Sus scrofa: one gene and its partners. The protein of the gene in region 3 purifies or fractionates together with the protein of the main gene of each other region. This does not show direct contact. Links are inferred from orthologs where the notes say so. Each region holds a gene or a part of one and is shown on either strand. Other genes may lie near its edges.

Region 1 (3,642 bases), on a different chromosome or scaffold from region 3:
AGTGGCCCTACACCAGCCAGCGAGCAGAATGAGTAGCTGGGTGGGGGCAGGTGGGTGACCTCTAAGCTGCAAAAACTGTGCTGTCCTTGTGAGGTCACTGCCTGGACCTGGTGCCCTGGCTGCCTTCCTGTGCCCAGAAAGGAAGGGGCTGTTGCCCCCTAGCCACGTTCCCTCTCCTCTCCCTCCTGTGGATTCTCCCATCATCCATCTGGTCTTCCTCCTAAGGCCAGCTGAAGGTGGTCCCTTGCAGTCTCCCCAGTTAGGTTAGTGATGTGAAATGCTCCTGCCCCTGGCCCTCCCTCCTTCCCTGTCCCCACCCATGCAGAAGGCAGTTGCTGGTTTTCTCCCCCAATTCTTTTCCAAGTAGGTTTTGTTTATTCCCCAAATCCCTGAGCCAGATCTGGGGGTGCCTACACTCCCAAATCCTGAGTGTCCAGCCTTCCCCTGTTGAGTTTCTAGTCTCTCGTGCTGTGCCTAGTGGCACCTGGGCTGGGGAGGACAGAGCCCCTGTCTAGGTTTTTATAAATGTCTTACTCAAGTTCGAACCTCCAGCTTGTGAATCAACTGTCTCTTTTTTGACTTGGTAAGCAAGTATTAAGCTTTGGGGTGGGGGGAGGTCTGTAATGTGAAACAACTTCTTGTTGTCTTTTTTTTTTCCCCCTCCCATTGTTGTAAATAACTTTTAATGGCCAAACCCCAGATTTGTACTTTTTTTTTTTTCTTTTCTAACTGCTAAAACCATTCTCTTCCACCTGGTTTTATTGTAACATTTGGAAAAGGAATAAATGTCGTCCCTTTAGTGGTGCTTTTTAATGAGTGGTCTTCTGGGGTAGGGTAAGAAGACTGGTTAACCTCAAGCCTTGAGGAGGGTTAAGACAGGTAAGTCTGTGGGGTTTTTAGGTTGTTGAGGGGTTGCCCAGATCCTCGTGTACACTTAAGGGCAGGGAAGTGGAAGTGAAATGAACCCAGGGATACCACTAGGAGACAGGCTCAGGAGGGTATAGAAATGTACCATTTTATTACAAAGATTCGCACAAAAATGGAAATAGTATCTCAAAAAGGAACCTAGACTACCAATCTTCACCTGCAGAATTGGGGGAGGAAGAGAGGGCAGGCAGTGTGAGTTTCTTGGCTCACTGGGGGGCAGTGGAAAGGTATGAGAACAGAACCAATCTAAAAATGGCTGATGTTACCTTAAGGAGCCTGAAAAAACAAGGAATCCCTGAAGACCCAGTCAACCCTTCTAAAATACTCGACGAGGGCACCCTTTCAAAGTTATTAGTCACGTCAAGATTTTGTCCTATGGCTGCTTAGGTATATCCCTTCCACCTGTTATGGTTTGAAATTAAGAGGTGGAGAGGGATGGATGGTGAGGCAGCTATTAGAAACCTAACACGTGTGCCCTAGGCTCAGGAGCCTGGTTCCTGTCTAGTCCCTGGGGATATTTATATTTAATATATTTTTATATAAATACACAGAAATAGAAAATATAAAATCTGAGGGGTTGTGGGATAAAGACGGGGAACTTGGCAAGAAGCCAGAATTGGAGAGGTCTGTTCAGGCCAACTTGACCTCCTCCTTGACCCTGTGGAGAGAGCAGAGACTGGAATGAGATAACCCACCCTAGAGGCCTTGAGGCCAAGTATGGGTACAATGATTTCCATAGCGCCCGGGCTGCCCAGGTGACTGCTGAGGGCTGGGGCTTCCTAGCTCTGCCTAGAACTGCAGAGAAACACAGACTGGTCCCTGAAAGAAGCCTTTGTAAGCTGGACCAGCTGTCCCTGGTGGTGGGACAAAGGGGCTGGTGCTCCAATGCCAGGGAGATAAGACAGCTCCTTCCTTACCCTTTGGCTTCTTGCTTCTCCTCCTTGGTTTTCTCCTCTTCTGTGACTTCTAGAATATAAGAGAGCAGGGATGGCCAAGGGCAGCCCCTTTGGAAAGACCCATGGGATCTCCACTTACCCTGAAACCCTTTCCCCAACACTACAGCTGGCTGGACATACAAAAGAGAAAAGCCCATCCCAGCCCTCCAGGCGAGCCCTGTAGAGAACAAACAGGTCAAACCGGTTTCCCAGCCTGCTAGAGCCTGAACCCTGTGGGTGGAGGCAGCCCCCTGGGAAAGTGGGGTGGTATCTGAGAGCCACGCTCCTGACCACCGGGAGCCCAGGCATGTCCCTGGCTCTGGGGCCTGGGAGGGCTCAATCAGCCAGTGAAGACGAATTGAGTTTCATCCTTTCGGAGAAGAGGCCTACAGGAGCTGGCAGGACCCAAGTCAGCGCCCTCCTCCCAGTGTCCTACATAAATTCCTCCTCGAGGGCCTGGGGCTCAAGACCCAAGTCCTGGCCCAACCCTAACCCACCTTTCTTCTCTTCTGGGTCCTTCTCTTTCTCATCTTCTGTTTTGACTCTCTTGGCTTTTTTGAAGTTGGAAGAGTTCTTGCGACCACCTTCTCCCTCCTCATCAGAGTCAGAGAACTCTTCCTCACAGGCAATTCGTTTGTCCGAGGAACAGACTGGGAGGTAATGGGAAATATGGGTGAGAGAGAAAATTCTTTATCTCATGGTCTGCCCAGTGCTTTCCTGCATGTTCCCCAAAAGACATCAAAAGGGAAAGGAAGCTAGACTCCTTAAATTATAAGCACAGGACCTCGAGTTTCTCAACAGGTGGTAGCTTGTGGAGAATGTGGAGCCAGGAACAATGCAGGGAAGACAGAATTGCCTACAGAGTGGTAGGGTGGGGGCCCCTGGGTCTCACTTGAGATGCGCTTGTCAGGGTCTTCTTCATCCTCATCGCCACTCTCCTCTGGAATGGCATCCTCAGGAATGGCCTGCATTTGGACCCCAGGTGCATGGGGCAGCATTCTCAGGTTCTCAAACAGTCGCTGTCTATGGCCAATGGTAGAGAGGTGGCTGGGCTCTGATCAGGGACCAATCAGAGCCTCGAATGTTAAACGAGGGGTGTTGGGGTGGGGGGATATACTCACTTGATCTTTTCCAGGTACTCATTAGTGTTCTGGTTAGTCATATTGGAAGGACTGATGTGAAGTTTGAAATCTGGTCCGAAGTATTCAAAGCAGTCGTTGTACGGAAGCTCTAATTGGGGCAGGGGGTGAGAGAGTCAAGAGATCTGGTGACCATGGGACCCTGAGAAAAGCATCTATAGGTTTATCTGGACCTGTCAGCCCAACTATCAAAGAAGCGTGCCTCCAAGATAGGGTGAGACTTGGGTACCTATAGGATTTCAATTTTTAATTTTTTTTTTCTTTTTTGGCTACAACCCCTTGGCATATGGAAGTTTCCAACCCAGGGACTGAATCCAAGCCACACCTGTAACCTATACCACAGCTACAGCAATGCCAGATCCTTAACTCCAGGATTTCAGTTTTTTAAAAGCGACTCTCCAGTGTCCACTGGAGGGGGAGTGGTGTGTGTGTGTGTGTGTGTGTGTGTGTGTGTGTGTGTGTGTGTGTGTGTGTGTGTGTGTGTGTGTGTGTGTGTGGGTGTGTTAAGGATGTGGCACTGGAGGGGGAGTGGTGTGTGTGTGTGTGTGTGTGTGTGTGTGTGTGTTAAGGATGTGGCACTGCCGCGAGCTGTGGTATAGGTCACAGATGCAGCTCAGATCCTGCAGAGAGAGAGAGTGTGT
Region 2 (5,345 bases), on a different chromosome or scaffold from region 3:
TCCCTTACTTGGTTTTAGCTCAAGTGTGGTTTCCACCCCTTCTAAACTTTCTCCGGACAGTTGGGCCCCCGCCCCGCGTCATTCCCCTGACCTCGGGAACGGGTCGCCCTCCTTCTCACTTCGGACCCTCACTGCACTTGTCTTATTTATTTTACTACCTACTAAAGCGCTGTTGAACTTGACACTCTCTACGGTGCCTTCTAGGACCCATTCCAGGTTGACGCCTATTATTTATTCACACCCGTAGTTCACAGCCTGATCCTGTCCCTCTTCTTCCGGCTGCTTTTGCAACACGGACGCGTGTGTCTGGATCTCGGCTTCTGTTCTCTCCTGAAGCGGGTACCGAAGCTCTCAGCCTCTCCATTACCAGCTCCCAGCTTGTCATGCCGTCTTTTCCCTGCTGTTGACGACTCCCTGGAGGCCAGCGGGTCTCTGCAGAATTAACTCTCCCTGCACCCCAGGGATGACGGAGGGCAGAGCCGTGCCCTCCCAGCGGAAAGGACCACAGACGCAGGGCCGAGGTGCAGAGCAGAGCCCGGGGACAGGCGGCGTGCCACGAGGGGAGCTCACCCGTCAGGGCGTGGCCGGACCGAGGGTGCCCTCCAGAACCTTCCCACCGGCAGGGGTCTGTAGACGGCCGCTTGGCAGGACCACCAAGGACGCGGCCCTGGTGCAGGATCCGAGGGCAGTGGAGGCGGAGGACCAGCTGCAGCCGTGCTGGTGGCGGAGGGGACACGCGGGGGACGGGGTAGCCCCTGAGGACGGGAGGTGGTGCGAGGAGGACCAGCTGGTGCAGCCGGAGCGTCGGGACAGGCGTCCCGCGAGCTGCAGAGCCAGCGGCCTCTGCCGCCCTGGGGCGGGGGGTGGGGTGTGGGGGGGTCCCAGGTCCCAGGCTGCCCGAGGGCGCACCGCCTGCGTCTTCTGCAGCAGCAGGGTCACAGCCCCCCGGGCTCCCCACTGCAGGCCCAGGGCCACCACAGACGGGACGGAGACCCACCAGGGACCCGGGAAACAAAGCCGTGAACACAGACGCTGGGCGTGCCGGCTCTTTCTGGGATTTTTATTTCTTTAAAATAATTCATACAAATGGTTACAGTCACAAACATGATTTTAACCAAAATATTGCTAGCCTACCACATCAGCAGGACGGCTCCGCTCGGCGGGCGCGGGGCCCTGGCCCCCGGGGCAGAGGCGCACGCTCTGCCCGCCTGGCGGCGCCGCCTTCGTTTGGAACAAGGGGGTTCATGCCAAAATTAGGAAAGACAGCCTGGGTGTTGCTTTTCTAAATTATCCTAAAAATAAGACAAGCAGGTAGAAAAAACAATGCACTGTGTGGCGTAAAAAGAAAACCGGAGGGATTCATTGTCCTGAGAAGTTTGCCAACTGCCTGGTCCGGGGCGCGCGGCACTCACGGGGCGGCCTGGGCGGACGCCGGCGCTCCCGCGGGCGTCTCTGCCGACAGCTAAGCAAACAAATCCTTGTAATGTTCTAGAGACTGTGCACAGACGGGAACATTCATGACGGAATTAACTACGAACTGCTTTTGCTTAACAAGGACGCGAAGGACACAGGGCAGCGGCTGGCCCTCGGGACGGGACAACTACAGTGACGCGAGGAGGCCGGCGCCACCTCTCACCACCTGGAGCCCGGGCCATCTCTGGAGGCCGCGGCCGCCCGTCGGCGCTGCCCCTGCACACGCCTGTCCGAGGGCGCGGCCCCTTCGGCGCTTGCGGCGGCGGCGAGGCTTCGGAGCTCTGCCCGGGTTACAACTGGTCGCTTGCGTGGTCTCTATCCGCCTCGGGCTTGACGGTTTGGCCTGGAGAAGGCGCGTGGGGCGGGTGGGATACAGGGGGCAGGCCGTGGGACAGGGACATGGCGCTGGGGACAATGCCTTCGACTGCGGCTGGGATGCCACTGGGGGCCACGCCTACCACGCCCGGGGGTACCTGCTGGGAGAGGAAGGGCCGCAGGTGAGGCCGGGGGCAGGGACCCTGGGCTGTGGGCCCAGCGGAGACGGCGGCAGAGGCAGGTGGCGGCCTTGAAGGCACCCCCGCCCTGCCCCCTCCACGCCCCCCGGGGAACGCCCCCCAGGGAGCTGGTCTTGTGGCCACCAGGCCCCGAAGGCTGCCCCCACGCGTGTCACCCCAACCGTCCAAGTCCAGGCCCCCGCCCACCGGGGGCTCACCTGTAGGCGGCCCCGTTGAGCTCGGGGTGCACCACGGCTGGGTCCACGCTGGCCCAGTGGGTGGCTGCTGCCAGGTGGTCCTTGTTCACACAGTTCTTCAGGCTGTCAGGGATCCGGCCTGGAGACGGCACAGACAGGGACAGTGCCCACGTCAGCTGCCCCCAGGGGGACCCCAGGAGCGTGGGGGCTCGTCGGTGGCATGGGCCACCCCCCTAGGAGCCACAGGGGCCCCGAGGAGCACTCCCGAGGCACTTTGGGATCCTGCCTGTCTGGGCAGCGTCACCCTTGTGGCCCGGGGCCCCTCAGCTCATCAGGGTCTCCGAGCCCATCTGACGGGCCCGGGCATCTCCCGGAGAAGCTGGCAGGGCCCAGCCCAAGAGGTTCACAAGCACAAACCGCTTTTTAAAAGGCGGAGAAAAGATACACGTGCAGAAAGCCCTGTGGGACAGTGAGTGTCACGAGCGTGACACCAGCACCTGGGGCTGTGCGTGTGCAGGGGTCCCCCATGGGGGCTGGTCTCTGCGCAGTGTCCCCGCCAGCGGAAGATGGAGGCGGCCCCCACGAGGGCCTCGGGCCCACCCGCCGCCGGCCGCCGCCCACCTGTGATGGCTCTCCGGATCTCGCGGGCCGCCTCCTCCCGCATCTCGATGGAGGCCTGCTCGCTGTACCAGGCTGCGTGCGGGGTGCAGATCAGGTTGGGAGCGTCCTTCAGGGGGCCCTGGCTAAAGCTACACAGCACGGGGCAGTCAGAGCGCCCAGGCGGGCAGAGGGTGCCCACCCCGCCCAGAGCTGGAGCTACCCTCCGTCTCCCCGGCCCCCATCAGGCGCAGGGACGCGAGCATCCTGGCCCCGCAGCCCCCGAGACTCGGCCGGGCCCTGGGAGGAAGGTCTGCCTGCCACGGGACCTCAGGCTGGGGGCGAGGCCTGAGTCCTCCCGGGCCCTCGGACCCTCGGCGGCCTGAGGCCAGGACTGGAGACCGTGCATGGGCAGTGGGGCCACCCCCCGCCCCCCCCGGCGCCGAGCAGCTCTGTGGCCAGCGTGGGGTGCGAGCCGGGGCAGGGGGGATCTCGGCGACGCCAGGGCGTCACGGGAAGCACCTGAAGGGCTCCGACTCGTGCACGTCCAGGGCCGCGCCGCGGATCCGCCCCTCCTTCAGCGCCTGGGCCAGCGCCTTCTCGTCCACCAGGCCGCCCCGGGCCGTGTTCACCAGGAAGGCCCCTTGTCTCATCTGGAAGACAGAGACCGTGTGACCTGAGGACCCTCCCCAGACCCAACTTCACCCCCAGACCAGCTGCTGCAGGGCTCGGCTGCTGCCCCTCGGTTCAGGTGGCTCTTCTCGTCCCTGTGGGCTCCCGCCCGTCCTGGCCTCACGCCACGGTCCCCGCTGCTGTCCCCCCAAGGCCCCAGCGGCTGCCTGGCCCTAGTCACTAGCCCCACTGTCCACGGGCAGACAGCACACACACCCGTCCCCACACACACACGTGCCCACAAGTGTCCGTAAGCACACCTGCACCAGGCAAGACCCCAGCACACGCCAACATCTGCACAACCTACACGCACAGAACGGCCGGCGCGTGAACAGTGTACACGCGCGGCCACACGCGCGCTCACACGTAAACACAGGACATGTGCACACACACGTGGGTGGGAGTCGTCACCCAAACTTCTCCACCGCACGCGGGTGCGCTGTGCCTGCAAACACGCGCTGTGCATACAGCCACCTGGAAGGCCCGGGGCCATCGGGTCAGGGAAGGAGGCCCCAGGATTCGGGGGGCCCGGTGGGGGCGGTGGCACCAGCAGACCGGCCACCAGAAGCCCGTCTGCCCCTGACCTCGTGCGCCCAGGCTGCACCCTCGCCCCGTGGCCGCCGCCCCGAGACCTGCTTGACGGTGAAGTCGTTGATGAGGTGGTGGTTGTGCTCGTTGAGGCCGCAGTGCAGGGTCACGCAGTCGCTGTGGAAGAGCAGGTCCTGCAGGGTGCTGACCCGCTGCAGCCCCAGCGCCCGCTCCGTGCCGTCCGCCAGGTAGGGGTCGTAGAAGAGCACGTTGAAGCCGAAGGCCTTGGCCCGCAGCGCCACCGCCTGCCCCACGCGACCTGGGGGGACAGGGTGTCACCGCAGCCCCGCCTCGGCTGTCCCGGCTCCCCAGGGCAGGGGCTCCACTCCCAGATGCAGAGGGCCACCGAGGCGGGCCAGGGGCTGCAGGCTCAGGACCGGCCCCGCGCCCTGGAGCCCGGGCCCCTGACCTCAGCTGCTGAGAAGGACACAGGGGCTCAGGGTCCCTCCTCCAGAAGGGACTCTGCCCTGGTGACCACGGGCTGCCACAGTGGAGGCAAAGCAGGGGACCTGGGCAGGCCAGGAGCCGGGAGGGGTGCCACGCCAGGGCTCTGCTCCTGGAGGACGCGCTGCCTCTCGGGCCACAGCAGCCCTCAGGGGACCGCTCTGCTCTGGGCAGCAGGGCACCTGGAAGCAGGCACTGGGCGTCCTGGGAGGGGTGGGGCGCGGGCCGGAGCAGAGGCTGGGGCTGCGGTGCCCAGCGCTAGTTTAGCACGGCCTCCGGGACCTCCCACTCGGCTGGCTGGTCACCTTTACTTTTCATTTTTTCTCTCTTTATGGCCACGCCCACAGGAGTGACCCAAGATGCTGCCGTGACAACGCTGGATTCTGAACCTGCTGCCCACGAGGGAACTCCTGCGGCTGGTCACCTTTGGACCGGGCACCGAGACCCCTGAGCAACACCGCCTGGGGGTGATGTGGCCCAAAGCCATTTGTCCAGGCAAACCGTCCCCCAACATGCCACGTGGGCCGGGCTGTCCCTGCTCTCACACCTCACAGGGCTTGGAGGTGGCAGGGCTGTGGGGCTCGTACCAGCCCCAGCGTCCGCGTGCGCACGCCTGGTGCATCAGGGAGCAGCGCTGGGGAGCGACACCGCGGCCCACAGGCAGCCAGGGCCCTGACCCCTGCACCAGCGCAGGCGCCTCTGCCCCCCACGCTCCCCTTGGCCACGGAAGGCGGTGCCGCGGTGGAGGGCCGGAGCCTGTGGGAAACCAGGAGGATGGGTGCCCGGGATCTGCGGGGAGGTGGCACAGAAGAGGGTGGACGGTGCCACGTGACCTCAAGCGCAGGCGCTCCTGCCCCTCAGGCCGCAGGCCCCTCCCTCC
Region 3 (4,301 bases):
AACTCACTTATTTACTCCATGATTTGTATAGTGATTGAATCCAAAATAGTTGACCAAGGTAATAGTGGCTGCCTTCTGCATGGAGTTTTCCCTTAAAAGCCCTCTCCTACAAAAAATTAGTTTCATGATAGCAGGTTCTATCAGTACATAGGTGCGCTGAACTAAGCACTTTATATAAGTTAGTGTTTGTGGTTCCTCTGTAACTATTGGAGGTCTTTGTTTTTAGTCACATTTCATCTGAGGAAAGTGACCTCGAAAGGTTATCAATTTTCTCTGTACTCTCTTTTTTCTTTCCACGTATCAGAATGAGTTTTATTAAAATCATTTTGGAATATTCTTTATCTTGATCTCTGAATGTGGGTACATAATTAGAACAAATAAAGTTCAATGCTCACTTCACCCATCCTTTAAATTCTGCAAAGGACAAGGACTCTATGTTATTTATCCTTGATTCCCTGGGACCTAGTACAGTGCCTGGCATGGAGTAGATGCTTAAGAAAGATATGTCTGCTGATGAGATTTTGTAGAGGTCCCGAAGGCAACTTTTTGCCTACATAAAAGTCAAATGTATACATTTAGAGCAATGACCCAGCAAATCAAAATCAGCCTGTGAGGGCAGATTTTCTAACTGAATGCCATGATTACAGAAGAAACCACAGACCGGCCACATGTCTCAGCATGACTCCCAGAGATGAAATTCTGCTTAACAACAGAGGCATTTTGTCTTTGTTTACCGACAGTGGAATGTCTTTGGCAGGACTTTAGTGATTCCACTTCAGCAGCATTTTGACAAGCAAGTTTAGCAGTGGATGAGACCAACAATAGCAAATCAACAGTGAAAAGTTCACCCACAAGTCAAGACCAAACATTTCATTTGAATATTTGACTTGGCAGCACATGGGGGGATTCTCTGAACAGTCATGTAGGATTTGACATGATAATAGGGGAGAAAGAGAACTTCCTCACAGAGCACCACTGTGCACCTCCTGCTTGGCAGGGATTGGAGCACAGGGGTTAGAACTTTGCTGGGTCTTGCGCTTTGTTCTGTTTTTTTGGTAGAACCGACTAGATCGATCTCAGCTTTCAGGGTCTTTGGGTGTCAGCATTGTATGTTTCAAGCATGGAGAGAAAGTGGAGAGAGGACACCGGGTTGAAGGTTGGGCAGAAATGTTTCACTTATTCATCCTCCACTGTCTGGCTGAGTGGCTTTGGACAGGTTGTTTCACCTTTTGTGCTCTCAGTTATCAAGTGCAGGAGTCGGCTGGACTATTTCCTCCATAGACCTCAGTGCTATCAAGGCAGGCCTGTCTCTTATTTGTATTTGTAGTTACAGTCATAAGTATGCAGTAATGTTTTTGGTGAGTTGCACATGTGCATGAACAGTGGATGGATGGTTATTGTATTTATGGTTGGGGAGGGGGTGATTCCTGTTTCTTAATAGAGGCAATCTTGACACTTTAGGTAGGATCATTATTTTTTTGTTGTTGTTCTGCAGATTGCATCACTTTGTGGCCCCAAGGCGCTGAAGGCCAGCACTAACTCCATATCATTATAACCACAAAAAAATGCCCCGCACTTTTCCAAACACACCCACAAGAGATGCTCTTGCTCGGGGTCCCTTCTTTTCCTAACATTCACCCGTGGTAGCCTTCAAATTTATAAAGTGATGCTTTTCAAATAAATGCCATTTACCGAGTCTTTCCTTTTCACCCCAGGCATACGCTATGATGTTGTCATTGTCCGACAAGGAGTCCCTCCATCCTTCATCCCACAGTTCTTCCAGCATGTGGCACAGTATGGCCAGGGCTGCGGCGGAATCCAGTGCCATCCAGTCCATAAGCCACGTATGACATTCCCAAGGTCGACCAGAGTGGGACCAAGTCCAACAGTAGCATGGCTCTTTCATGTAGGACTATTTAAAAGACTGCTGAGCAGAATGCCTTAGAAACCTGAAGGGTCACTCATGTAAAGTCTGGGGACCTTAAACTGAATGATTGAAAAAAAAAAAAAAGAAAGAGAAAGAAAGAATGAAAGAGAAAGAAAGAAAGAAAAAGAAACTATTTATTCTCGATATTTTGTTTTGCACAGCAAAGGCAGCTGCTGACTTCTGGTGGATCAATGCGACTTAAAGTGATTCCGTAAAAGTGAAAAACTTGCTGGGCAGAAGGCATCTTCCAATTCATCTTGCCCTTGGGAGTGGGGGGGTGAGAGGGTGGTGGAGATGGCAGCATTGATAGGAATGAACACTCCATAGAAACTGAATTCTTTTTTTATACAAGATCACCTGACACATGATTGGGAACAGTTGCTTTTAATTACAGATTTAATTTTTTTTTTTTTGCTTTGTTAAAGTTTTATGTAATTTAACCCTTCAAAGACAGAAGTAGTTGGATGAAATGCACACTTGATTATTATAGAAACTGATAACAGGGAGTATTTGTTTCCTATTAACTTTTGCCTTCTTAAGTACATTGTTTAAAACTAGGGGAAAAGGGTATGTGTATATTGTAAACTATGGATGTTCAATGCTCAAAGAGGTTACGTCAGTGAAGTAGCCTGTTCATCACCAGTACCGGTGTACCACTACACGAATAGGTTTGCCAAATCCTTGTAATAACATCTTAATTTTAGACAATCATGTCACTGTTTTTTAATGTTTAATTTTGTGTGTGTGTTGCGTGTATCATGTATTTATTTGTTGGCAAACTATTGTTTGTTGATTAAAATAGCACTGTTCCAGTCAGCCACTACTTTCTGACATCCGAGGCACACCCCTTTCTGAATTTCAAGGACCAAGGTGACTCGACCTGTGTATGGGAGTGCCAAATGGTGTTTGGCTTTTCGTAACATTCCTTTTTGTTGTTGTTTTGTTTTCCTTCTTAATGAGCTAACTACGAATAGATGCAACTTAGTTTTTGTAATACTGAAATTGATTCAGTTGTATAAACGATTATAATTTCTTTCATGAAAGCATGATTCTTCTGATTAAAAACTGTACCCCATATTTTATGCTGGTTGTCTGCAAGCTTGTGCGATGTTATGTTCATGTTAATCCTATTTGTAAAATGAAGTGTTCCAGACCTTATGTTAAAAGAGAGACGTAAATAACAGACTGTATTCAGTTATTTTGCCCTTTATTGAGGAACCAGATTTGTTTTCTCTTTGTTTGTAATCTCATTTTGAAATAATCAGCAAGTTGAGGTACTTTCTTCAAATGCTTTGTACAATATAAACTGTTATGCCTTTCAGTGCATTACTATGGGAGGAGCAACTAAAAAATAAAGACTTATAAAAATGGTTATTTTTTTTCCAGTCTGGTAGTTTCCCTTCCCATGCAATTTTGGTTTCCCTTTGGGACCCAGTGATTTAAAGATATGCTGCCTGGGACCTTGATGCCCTAGTAGATATGTGGAATGTAGAGCATGTGTGTATAGTTTTGAGATGACATGAAAGATAGCCCTTGCCCCAGAGGGAGTTGGACTGTCTCCTGCTCATTGTTCTGGACTTTCTCCATGTGGTGCAAAGCCAAGGCTCAGGTGCTACATGGTCCTTGGGATCAGTCCACATCTTTGGCACCCATTCTGGTTAGGACAGAGCAACGTACAGTTTTTCTTCTCGATTTTATGTAACGTGTGCCAAAAGGTGTTCTGTTTCTTATCTTTGTTTTTAATTACCCAAATTCTGTTAACTCCTTCACGAGGGGGTGGGACCCTTTAACTTTCCTATGATCCTTTCAAGTCTGTGTCCACATGCAAAATATCATGTTTTTATGGCTATAATCAAAGAGTAGATGTGATTTTTAAGTTTTTCCTTTACAAAAAAAAAATCCACTGCATATTGCTGTAACTTCTTCAAAGTAATCATTTTGCAGTTGCTCTAATAATATTCCATCAGGTTTGATCTACTATGAGTTCTTCAACTATTTCATTTTTTGTTGAAAATTTGTTTTTTGCTTCTCCCTAATGTATGCAATTTTAATTTTCATGCACCTAATTGTTTCTGAGTGTTCGTATATGTACACACAGGGTTGGACTGTGAAGCGTGGTGTTTCTGTGTGATAAATTCTCTCATGGGGGAGCCATTTTGAATATTTTTTTGTACATTCAGTACGATGCCAGTGGTTTTAGAATATGGTTATTTCAATGTGGCTGGCTGTAGAGGTTTTAACTAGGCTTGCAGATTCAATAAGTATGGAACATAGAAGTAGATCTAATTGATTTGTTTGTTTATTCATTCTTAGCCACAATGCCAGATACAGAGAGAAACTTCCTCACATCCTTTTTAAATGTCTGTAGTATAGG
Region 4 (4,010 bases), on a different chromosome or scaffold from region 3:
TGGGGGGCAAGGTCCAGGAAAATTGCTGCTGTAAGTATGTACTACTTGGGGATTTTGAAGTCAAATAGCAAAATAAAGAGGATCTTGGTAGTGATTCTGACTGGTTCCTACTTTAATATGGCCTTTTTTGCTGTTGTTTTGATGGGGATATAGGAGTGTGTTTTTGAGGAAAACTGTAAATGGTAGAGTGAGCTAAGAGTTCTCCTTTGCAGACTGTCAATCCCCTATAAAGTGGCTGGCTTAGAGTAGCTACTTGATAAATGTTGACTTGACACAGTGACAAAGGTATTCACAAATTCCAAGTTTTGAAAGTCCTTTCTCTGAGCTTTCTGCTCCAATCTTCCAGTGCCCAGCCAGCGGAAGCAGTAATAACGGAGTAGCTAGGGTATGTAGATTTTGGAGAAAGTCAAATCAAACCCTAGACCATTAACATCTGAGAAGACCAATTTCCTTAATATGCTCCATTTATAAAGAAGGACTAGAAATAATACTTACATCCCAGCGTTGTTGGGCGTCTCAAATGAGTTAACTGGTACCTATTACAAATGGGTATCAATGAAATCTATCATAAATGCAAATGCTTAGAACCCTGTCTAACTCATAAATGCATTCCATAAAATGCCCATTCAAACCTAGGCAGTACATTCCACTCCTTAATATCTGTAACAGGTCCCCTTAATAGATAAGAACCTCTGAGCAAAAATCAGCAAAAAATGAAAAAATAAATGAAATTCAAGCAGACTCGGTTGAGGGTCCGTGGACTGCTGCCTGGAGGATTCGGCAAGGCCAAAGGAGTGCGAGAGAGGGGTCTCCCTGCGGCGCTTGCAGCACGTGGTCCGCCCGGGCAGGAGCTTCGCGACAGTGGGGGAGGGGAGCGGCGTGGGACGTCGCGGAAGGGGTCTAAGCGCCCGGGCTACGGTTGAGGAGGCGCCGACTGCGCAGGCTCGGGATAGGCGCAACCACTGTACGAAGAGCCGAAGGGGGGAGCGTTTATCCGGCTCCACGCTTCCTTCACCCACTTACGGAGAGAAAGCCTGTCCTTAAAAAAAAATCATTTTACGACTGTATTTGGAGCGGCCCTCTGCAAGTTGCTCATCATTAGGAGGCCTCTTTACCCAGGACTGAAGAGGCCTCTTTCTCGGGTCGTGTCCCCTCTTCCCCCGTGGAGTCGCAGTGGATGCATCCCACCTCCCCTCGGCCTCCGGAGGTGGTTTGGCTGCCCCCTCCCCCTCCCCAGTGTCGCGAGTTGGCGCCGCTGCCACCCCCCGGTCCGCGCTCTCGGCCCCTCGGCCGGGCGGTACCGAGCCCTCCCGGCACCCCCTCCTCGCCTCCCTCTGGCCTGCCTTTCCCCGCAGGACTGCCAGTTCAACCTTCACCCCAGCCCTTTTCTTTCGGCGCCGAGCCGCGGCGGCAGCAGCAGCAGCAGCAGGAGTCCGAGCCCGGAGGCGGCGGCGGCGGCGGTGGCCGGGGAGCCCATGGCGTACAGTCAGGGAGGCGGCAAGAAGAAAGTCTGCTACTACTATGATGGTGAGAGGCTGGGCTGGCGGGAGGGTAGCGGGCAGGGCTGCGGCGCCGGGCCTCGAGCCGCACGGGGCTCTGCAGCAGCCGTCGCGAGTGGTCCCAGGTGCGAGGGTTCAGGTCAGAAGGAGGGACCGATGTTTGGCCGCATCCTAACCCATTCCCGACCCGGCGCCGTCCAGGAGTCTCGGCCAGGGGCTAAGTGGACGCCCCACTTTTCCCTCCTGGCCGTCTTCCTCCGGCAGTCCGGACTGCCGCCGGCCTACCAGGCTTCGTGCTGGTGTGAAGCAGACGGTTCTCCCGCGCGCCTCTCCCGCCCGCCACTCGTGGGAGCGGAGGTTTGGGGGTGCTCTGCACCGGCCCCTTGTACCCATCCCTCCCCCCGGGTCAAAACAGCTTCCCCGGCCCAGACTCCACACAAAGCCCGACGGCCGCGAGAGCTCCGCCCCTCCCGCCCCCATCCCTCCCCTCCCGCCCCCATCCCTCCTTACCTCTCCCTCCCCTCCGTCCCTGGCTGGCCGGAGAAAGGCTGTCCCCTCCTCCGCGCCGGCCTCTCCCCAGACCCCTCAACCAGGGTGGGTAGCGGAGAGTAGCTCCTGAAGGTGGGGGCCCACGTCCGCTTTGGGGTACACTCACACCGCTGTTTTGCCTGGGCTTCTTTCCTCTCCTTTGTTTGCCGCTTTCTTTGAGCGCCACTTTCTTAGCATTCAAATGAAAAAGCTTCACTTCCTCAATAAAAATGAGGGTTTTCGAGTTGGAGGTAGTCAGTCTTCTCGGGAAATTAAGACGGTGGTAGGGCAGCGTGGGGCTGCTGCTGCTGCTTGTGTTGCAGCTCAGACCCGATGGGTCCTGGCTTGCCTCTGTGAGGTGGTTACCACCCACTTCTTTGTTGCTCTTTGTTTGATCGGGAAATATACCCTGCTTTGGAGGTGTAGGGAAGCTAGCATTGGCATCTAGCTTGCGAAGGCTATTTCTAGGTGGTGGGAGTCGCGGTGCAGGAAAACTTTGAGGAGTAGTGCAGAAATTGGTATAAATAATGATAGTCTTGAGCTCATGGAACAGTGTGTAAAAGTCATATAATTTAAAGGGTTCTTCTCAATTGCAGTTTGAGCAGTAACATTAAATCTTTTTGAATCCGGATGCTATAAATTACACTAAACAGAGTAGTTAGCTGCTTTACAGATTGCACAAAGGCATTAACTTAAGTAGGTAAATAGTTCCTAGAAAGAAATTGTAAAATTTAACAAAGAAGCTAGATTCAATGACCTGAAAAGGTCTATCCAGTTTGAATGAAGCAATACAAATTTTGGATGCTTTTGCCACATTCAGTGTATTATAAATCACAAAGTTTTAAAGAGTGGTGGAAAGATCTTAGAGGACTAGGTCAGAATAAATCTGCCTTTAATTTTAAAATAGCTGTACCATATCTCAAGTTAGCAAGGATAAATTATTTTGATGCCTGTTTATATGAAATAACCACCTGTGTCATTGTGGAAAAATCTAAAATCTTGGAAAAGAAATTTAAATAGTTCAGTATTTGGTAGCCAATACTCAGTAGTAACAGCCATGTTTTAAAGACCTGTTTTTTGAGAAGTCCGCTTATATGTGTGATACAGATTGATCTGAAATTATGCCGTTATGGAGGGGTGGAGAGAGGGATATATTTTAATTTTAACGTGAATTATTATAAGGCTTCTTAAAGTTCTTTCTTTAAGAATTCATGCATATTTTGAGTCACTGGCCTTTCCTTGCATTGCCTGGCTAAATTGGAAAGTAAATAACAATATGTGTAAGTTAATTTTTAAAACAATATTGTTTCTGAGGTTTAGAGATTTGTTCTTGTCGGGTCTTGGGGTAAAGGACAAAGGTTTTAAAAGTTTGGAGTAACTAGTGCTAATGCTCTTCCTACAGCTGTTAGTTGCTGACAGTGATAGGCTCTGGAGAAGTAAGCTGCTTGAAACTTGTGGTCACCAGGCTTGAACTGCAGAACCAGGAGGTACACCTAAGCGTCAGTTTTATCAATAGCTGTATATTCCTGGGCCCATTTATGATGAGCCTTTGTTGAGGGAATGGGAGCAAGCTGTGGTCCCAAGGGCAGGATGCAGACTTGATAGAAAGAGTAGTCTTGTGATTGTGACCTAGTCAGTACTTTATGGTGGACCTTTATAAAGCTTTATTTGATGGCCAACAGCAGGTGTATAACTAACCGAATGTTTGGATATCTATCCCTGGTTAGGTTATCTGTCTTTTGTCTCTGGCTCTTCCTTGCCTCATTTTTAGAATGGAATTTGTAGTTGCTTATATTTGGAATTTGCTTTGGGTTCTTTTTGGGGAGGTGGGGGTAATAACATGTTTTGTAGAGGTTATTAAATTGAATAGGTATCATTATGCTAATTCTTTGTATATGATAGTATATTACGCTGTGTGTAGTTAATTCCAAAAGCTTGCATTCTCATCACCACAAAAACCCTATTATGTTTATAAAAGTAGTG
Region 5 (4,587 bases), on a different chromosome or scaffold from region 3:
TCTTGACCAGCCTCGGGTTTCTCCAGCCTCTTCCCTGCCTCCTACGTCGTCCCCTCCCACCTCTGCTCTGCGCTGAGCCCTGAGTGCTGAGCCATGACCCCCTTAGAAGCCCAAGGCTTATCCCTCGGGCCACAATGCCCACTGCCCCAGGCTCCAGCTCCATTCCTTGAGGAACCTGGCTCCCCCACACCCCAAATCTTTGCTTGTGCCCTTTCACTCAGGGGATTTTTAGGAGGCCAGTCCTGAGCCTGGTCCCGGTACTCAGAGGTCACGGCTGGGTCGGGGAGACACCGGAAGCAGGCTCAGTCCTGGCCCTCAGGGGTTAATGTCTGGTGGGAGAGTCGCAGGGACCAGGTCCCCTCTGGCCCTCACGGTCACATGCGACACAGGTCACTCTGGTGACAGAGATGGATGCAGATGCCTACGAGGCTTAAGAGTTGGAGGGGCAATGGGAAAGAAAGACCACCACTGAGGCGAACTGCAGATCATAAAAGGGATCTGACCAAGTTGAAATGCGGGGACTCTCTCCCGAGGGACAAGACAGGAGCCACAGACGCGCTGGAAGAGAAGTACAGCCAGGTCCGTTTCCCGCCACCTCCCAGAGAACACGGCGCTCTTCCTTGCGACGTCAGCTCTAGCAGATGTCACTTCTCTGTCCAGCTCTTCCTGAGGCTCCCAGTCCCCACCCACCGCCACCACCGCCGCCTCTAGAAGCCCCGGGATCAAAGGGCAGCCTCTCCCGGGGGCTCAGGAGCCCCCCGGGCCCCTCCCCAACCAGAGGGAATACGGCCACCCCCTCCCCAGGCTCCATCTTCCTGCCTGTCCTGCCCCTACCTGCTCCCTGAGTCTCCCCAGGAGTGAGTCACACCGCAAACCCTCCAGGGCACAAACGGTTCCTTCTCTCTTGTCTTCTTTTCAGTCCCACTCTGTAAGGGCTGAGTTGAGAACAAATCAGTCCAGGTCCCTGCTCCCTAGCAGTCCTCCGGAGGGACGGGGGAAGACGGACGGGCTAGAGGCGGGCAGCCGGAAAAGGGAACCAGAACCTCGGAGGCCACCTGCTGCTCTGCCCCCTCCCAGATACAGGATCCTGAGCCTTCTCTCTGCCTGTTTCCTCAGCGCCTCCCCCCCCAGAAAACCTCCCCCAAACCCAAAAGACAACACTTCACCAGATCGGGCAGCACAGGAGTTTGAGACACATAGGCTTTTTTTTCTTTTTCTTTTAAACCCACTCTCCCTCTCCGGGCCTCAGTTTTCACATCTGTAGAATGGGGATGACCATGGCCGTAATGCCCCCCCGCCCCCGCCCCGACAGGGGCGGTTGGAAGAACCCAAGATCAGGGGTGTGAAAGGCGTGTCTGTGTGGTTTTGTGTTCGGGGAGGTACCATAGCTGGTTGAAATCCCAACAGGCTCACTTAGTGCGTGTGCCCTTTCCCAGGAAAGGAAGAGCTGCTACTAATTAAATGATGATACGCCATCATTTAATTAAACAAATTGAGATCCACCTTCATTTCAGAGTTGTTAAAATATGAAGTGCGTGTTGCCGAATGGATAAAACACGATATGGTCTCTGCTGGGCGGGGGTCGGGCCGTCCCGGCAGAAGGCGGAGGGGCAGCTCGCGTGGTGGGGCTGTCGCGCAGGGGCGCGGGAGGACAGCAGGGTCAACAGGGAGGGTGCCCGGCAGGACAGCCTCACGGAATCAAGTCAATTCATATTTCTGCCATGAAATCTATGAACATGCACGTCAGGTGGGGTAAACAGACGACACGTGGGCCTCTACCAGGTCCAGTTGGGGTTTGTAGCCAAAGGCGGCACAGGAAACATTTGGCTTTCTGACCTTTTTGGATTTTTCTGAATTTTGGACCCTAACGGCCAACACTTATGTGGGACTTGCTGTGTACTGAACTCCATTCAAGGGCTTCCCCCAAATGCTTCACACCTCGGAACTCATTTAGTTCTTATAACAAGTGTATGAGGTGGGTGCGTGGGTGCTCTTATCTTCCCATCTTACAGATTAGGAAACTGAGACACAAAGAGGCTGGCCGCTGAGGAGGGGTGGAGATGGGATTCAGCCTCAGGCACCCAGACTCCAGGGTCCACCACCTCCCCCACCCCTCTGCCACGCTGCCTCATAGGAGGGGGACCCAGGAAGATGCATTTGGCTCTGGCAGTTTGGGGGCCTGTGGTGCTATTAGGAGGCCCCATAGGTCTGCAGATGCCGGGGGGTGGGGGCTGGAAGTCACTGAACGTGGCAGGAGGGAGACCAAGAAACAGCTTGAAGAGAATGTGTGCAGAGTGGGAAGAGTAAGGACAGGGAGGGAGGGGGTCCTCAGCAAGCCCTGTGTTTACAGCGTGGAGGAGCAAGGGCACTAAGGAAGAGTGGTGGGGACCTTAGGGTGCCAATGGGCTGTAGACACTTCCTCCCCCTCGCCTGCCAGGCCTCTCCTGCGCTCAGTGCCCCCCTGAGACCGGCAGTAGAGTGAAGCTAGGGACCCGCTGCTCTGGACCTCTTCTGCCACTGTGGGCCCCTGTGGGTGTGGCCACCTCCTCCCCCACCCTGGGGACATCCCTCCGGGGTGTGACATCTCCACACTGTCACTGTCCCTCTGAGGTCTCGGCATCTCCTCCAGAGTGTCAGGGCGCTGAGGGTGTGGACACTTCCTCCAGGCTGTCAGAGCCTCTTGGGTGTAGACCCGAGCTCCTTCAGACTGTCACTATCCCTCGGGGGTGAGGACACTTGAGTTTCCCGACTGTCAGGGCAGTGTGGGTGTGGACACTTCCTAAGTCAGACTGCCAGGGTCCTCTGGAGCGCTCGCTCTCTTCCTCAGGTGGCTCTGGGACACGGACACCTCTTCCTCCTACAGACTGTCAGGCCTTCCCTTCTCTAGACTGCCGGGAACCCTCTGGGCTGTGGCCACCTCCTCCTTCCTCTAGACTGTCAGGTCCTCTGCCATCTCCTCCATCCGACCACCGGATTCTCTGGGGCATGGACATGACCTTGTCCAGACCGTCAGGGTCCTCTGCAGTGTGGCCGCTCCGCCCCTAGCCGGTCTCTGCCCGCCCCCGCCCCTGCGCCGGTGCTCTGACCCTCTCTACGGTATAGTTCCCCAGAGCAGGAGCCGCTCCTCTCCATCAGTGTCATCACTACTGTGGAGACAGCTTCAGGTGTGTGTCCCTTAGGCCAATTCTGTCACTCCCCGGCCAAATCACACCCCCAAGAGACCTATGGAAATGGGGGGGGTGCTTGGGGGGTGTCATCGCAACAGGGCACACTCAGGGATTTAAATGATCACGGTCCAGGGGTATTTTATGTTCCCCGATGCATGAGATGGTCCCACGGCACAAAAAACTGCCCCACCTCAAGTGCCCACCGTGTCTCAGTGTAGAACGTGACACCTGCTGTGGCGGGCACTTGCTAGTTATTCACCCACACCCCTCTGGATTTTCCACTTGAGCATAAGGCTAAGTCACACTTCGCGGGCCTCTGCCCCGAGCTATGGCCCGTGAGTCGGTTCCCACCAGCAGGTGCACGCCGACATGACATGCGCACCGCGTCCAGGCCTCCCCGGGTCTGCCCCGCCTCAGCCCACCTGCCTCGCAGTGCTGAGGATCAGAGGCGGCTCCAAGGCCCTGAAGCACAGCAAAGGCACAAGAGGGAAGGAACCCGGGTGTCTGCGCCGTCACGAGGAAGGACACCACCTACAGGCCCATGCTGGGCTGGGAGAGGCGCGAACGGACTTCCAACGAACGGACTTCCAACGCACCACGCCGCTAAGCGTTGGGGTTGCCTGGTAGGGTGGGGGGGCCTGCCTCCTACAGCCGGCTCTCCAGAGCCGTGTCCAGAGGAGGAAGCCGGAAGCCGGCCTCCCCCAGGCACTCCCGCCCGCCTCCGGCAGGCCGTCGGCGCCCCGCTTGGGCGGACTAGCAAAAGGTGCTCCTCCCTGGGCAGGCACCGCTGGGCGGACGGCTGGGCCCTCGGGGGAAATGAGAAGAGGAAGTGCCCCGTCAGGTGACACAACCCCTCGCAGCCCACAGGGCCCGCTGAAAGGAACGCTGCCTGGATTTCGGTTCCCGCTTTTGCCCTTTGCTGGCTCCCCTGGGGAGGGAGGGCCGCCCAGCCCGGAGGTATTTCAGGGGGGCTTTACCCGCCTGCTTAGACCACTCACCCCGGCTGGGGTGGGGTCTCTCACACTGGGGTTCACCGCCCCCAACACCTCGCCCACCGCACCGGGAGTGCGGGGAAGCCGCAGGCACACAGAGGGGCGGGCGAGCCCGGCGCACTGCGCTTAGCGGTGGGGCGGCGACGGCGGCGGCGGGAACAGGCGCCCAGCCCCGACTCCCTACCTCGCCCACGTACTCCATGACGAAGCTGTTCTTGCGGATCTTCTCCAGTGTGCGGACACCCCAGCCGCGGCCGTCGTCCGTGCGGAAGATGCAGAGGTCGTAGCGGATGCCCTTCTGCACCACGCGGTTGGGGCAGTCGTAGCCGCAGCGGCAGCGCGAGTTGCACTCGTAGATGGGCAGCCCGGCTCGCAGCCGCACCTGGCCCTGGTCGTTGTAGGCGAACTTGTGCAGCGAGGCCCCCGGG

What was found.
Region 1: the proteins of MECOM (region 3) and HDAC1 purify together in Homo sapiens (affinity purification with western blotting; 5 studies listed by BioGRID and IntAct, with this or other methods). This does not show direct contact. The link is inferred for Sus scrofa from reciprocal best matches to the Homo sapiens genes MECOM and HDAC1.
Region 2: the proteins of MECOM (region 3) and CTBP1 purify together in Homo sapiens (affinity purification with mass spectrometry; 6 studies listed by BioGRID and IntAct, counting the BioPlex papers as one, with this or other methods). This does not show direct contact. The link is inferred for Sus scrofa from reciprocal best matches to the Homo sapiens genes MECOM and CTBP1.
Region 4: the proteins of MECOM (region 3) and HDAC2 purify together in Homo sapiens (affinity purification with mass spectrometry; 3 studies listed by BioGRID and IntAct, with this or other methods). This does not show direct contact. The link is inferred for Sus scrofa from reciprocal best matches to the Homo sapiens genes MECOM and HDAC2.
Region 5: the proteins of MECOM (region 3) and SUV39H1 purify together in Homo sapiens (affinity purification with western blotting; 3 studies listed by BioGRID). This does not show direct contact. The link is inferred for Sus scrofa from reciprocal best matches to the Homo sapiens genes MECOM and SUV39H1.

What each region holds. Positions count from the first base shown.
Region 1 is NC_010448.4:88,782,569-88,786,210, reverse strand, and holds the end of HDAC1 (histone deacetylase 1), read right to left. Parts: intron 3,093-3,642; coding exon 2,984-3,092; intron 2,886-2,983; coding exon 2,755-2,885; intron 2,513-2,754; coding exon 2,360-2,512; intron 1,894-2,359; coding exon 1,845-1,893; intron 1,586-1,844; coding exon 1,558-1,585; 3' UTR 991-1,557; downstream 1-990. UniProt on the Homo sapiens protein: Histone deacetylase that catalyzes the deacetylation of lysine residues on the N-terminal part of the core histones (H2A, H2B, H3 and H4).
Region 2 is NC_010450.4:474,125-479,469, forward strand, and holds the end of CTBP1 (C-terminal-binding protein 1), read right to left. Parts: intron 4,281-5,345; coding exon 4,066-4,280; intron 3,415-4,065; coding exon 3,284-3,414; intron 2,914-3,283; coding exon 2,786-2,913; exon of another isoform or gene 2,304-2,785; coding exon 2,186-2,303; intron 1,992-2,185; coding exon 1,991-1,991; intron 1,950-1,990; coding exon of another isoform or gene 1,947-1,949; coding exon 1,764-1,946; 3' UTR 1,046-1,763; downstream 1-1,045. UniProt on the Homo sapiens protein: Corepressor targeting diverse transcription regulators such as GLIS2 or BCL6. Has dehydrogenase activity. Involved in controlling the equilibrium between tubular and stacked structures in the Golgi complex.
Region 3 is NC_010455.5:107,752,207-107,756,507, reverse strand, and holds the end of MECOM (MDS1 and EVI1 complex locus protein EVI1), read left to right. Parts: intron 1-1,715; coding exon 1,716-1,850; 3' UTR 1,851-3,301; downstream 3,302-4,301.
Region 4 is NC_010443.5:79,898,798-79,902,807, reverse strand, and holds the start of HDAC2 (histone deacetylase 2), read left to right. Parts: upstream 1-1,210; 5' UTR 1,211-1,475; coding exon 1,476-1,527; intron 1,528-4,010. UniProt on the Homo sapiens protein: Histone deacetylase that catalyzes the deacetylation of lysine residues on the N-terminal part of the core histones (H2A, H2B, H3 and H4).
Region 5 is NC_010461.5:42,803,175-42,807,761, reverse strand, and holds part of SUV39H1 (histone-lysine N-methyltransferase SUV39H1), read right to left. Parts: coding exon 4,344-4,587; intron 936-4,343; coding exon 835-935; intron 1-834. UniProt on the Homo sapiens protein: Histone methyltransferase that specifically trimethylates 'Lys-9' of histone H3 using monomethylated H3 'Lys-9' as substrate. Also weakly methylates histone H1 (in vitro).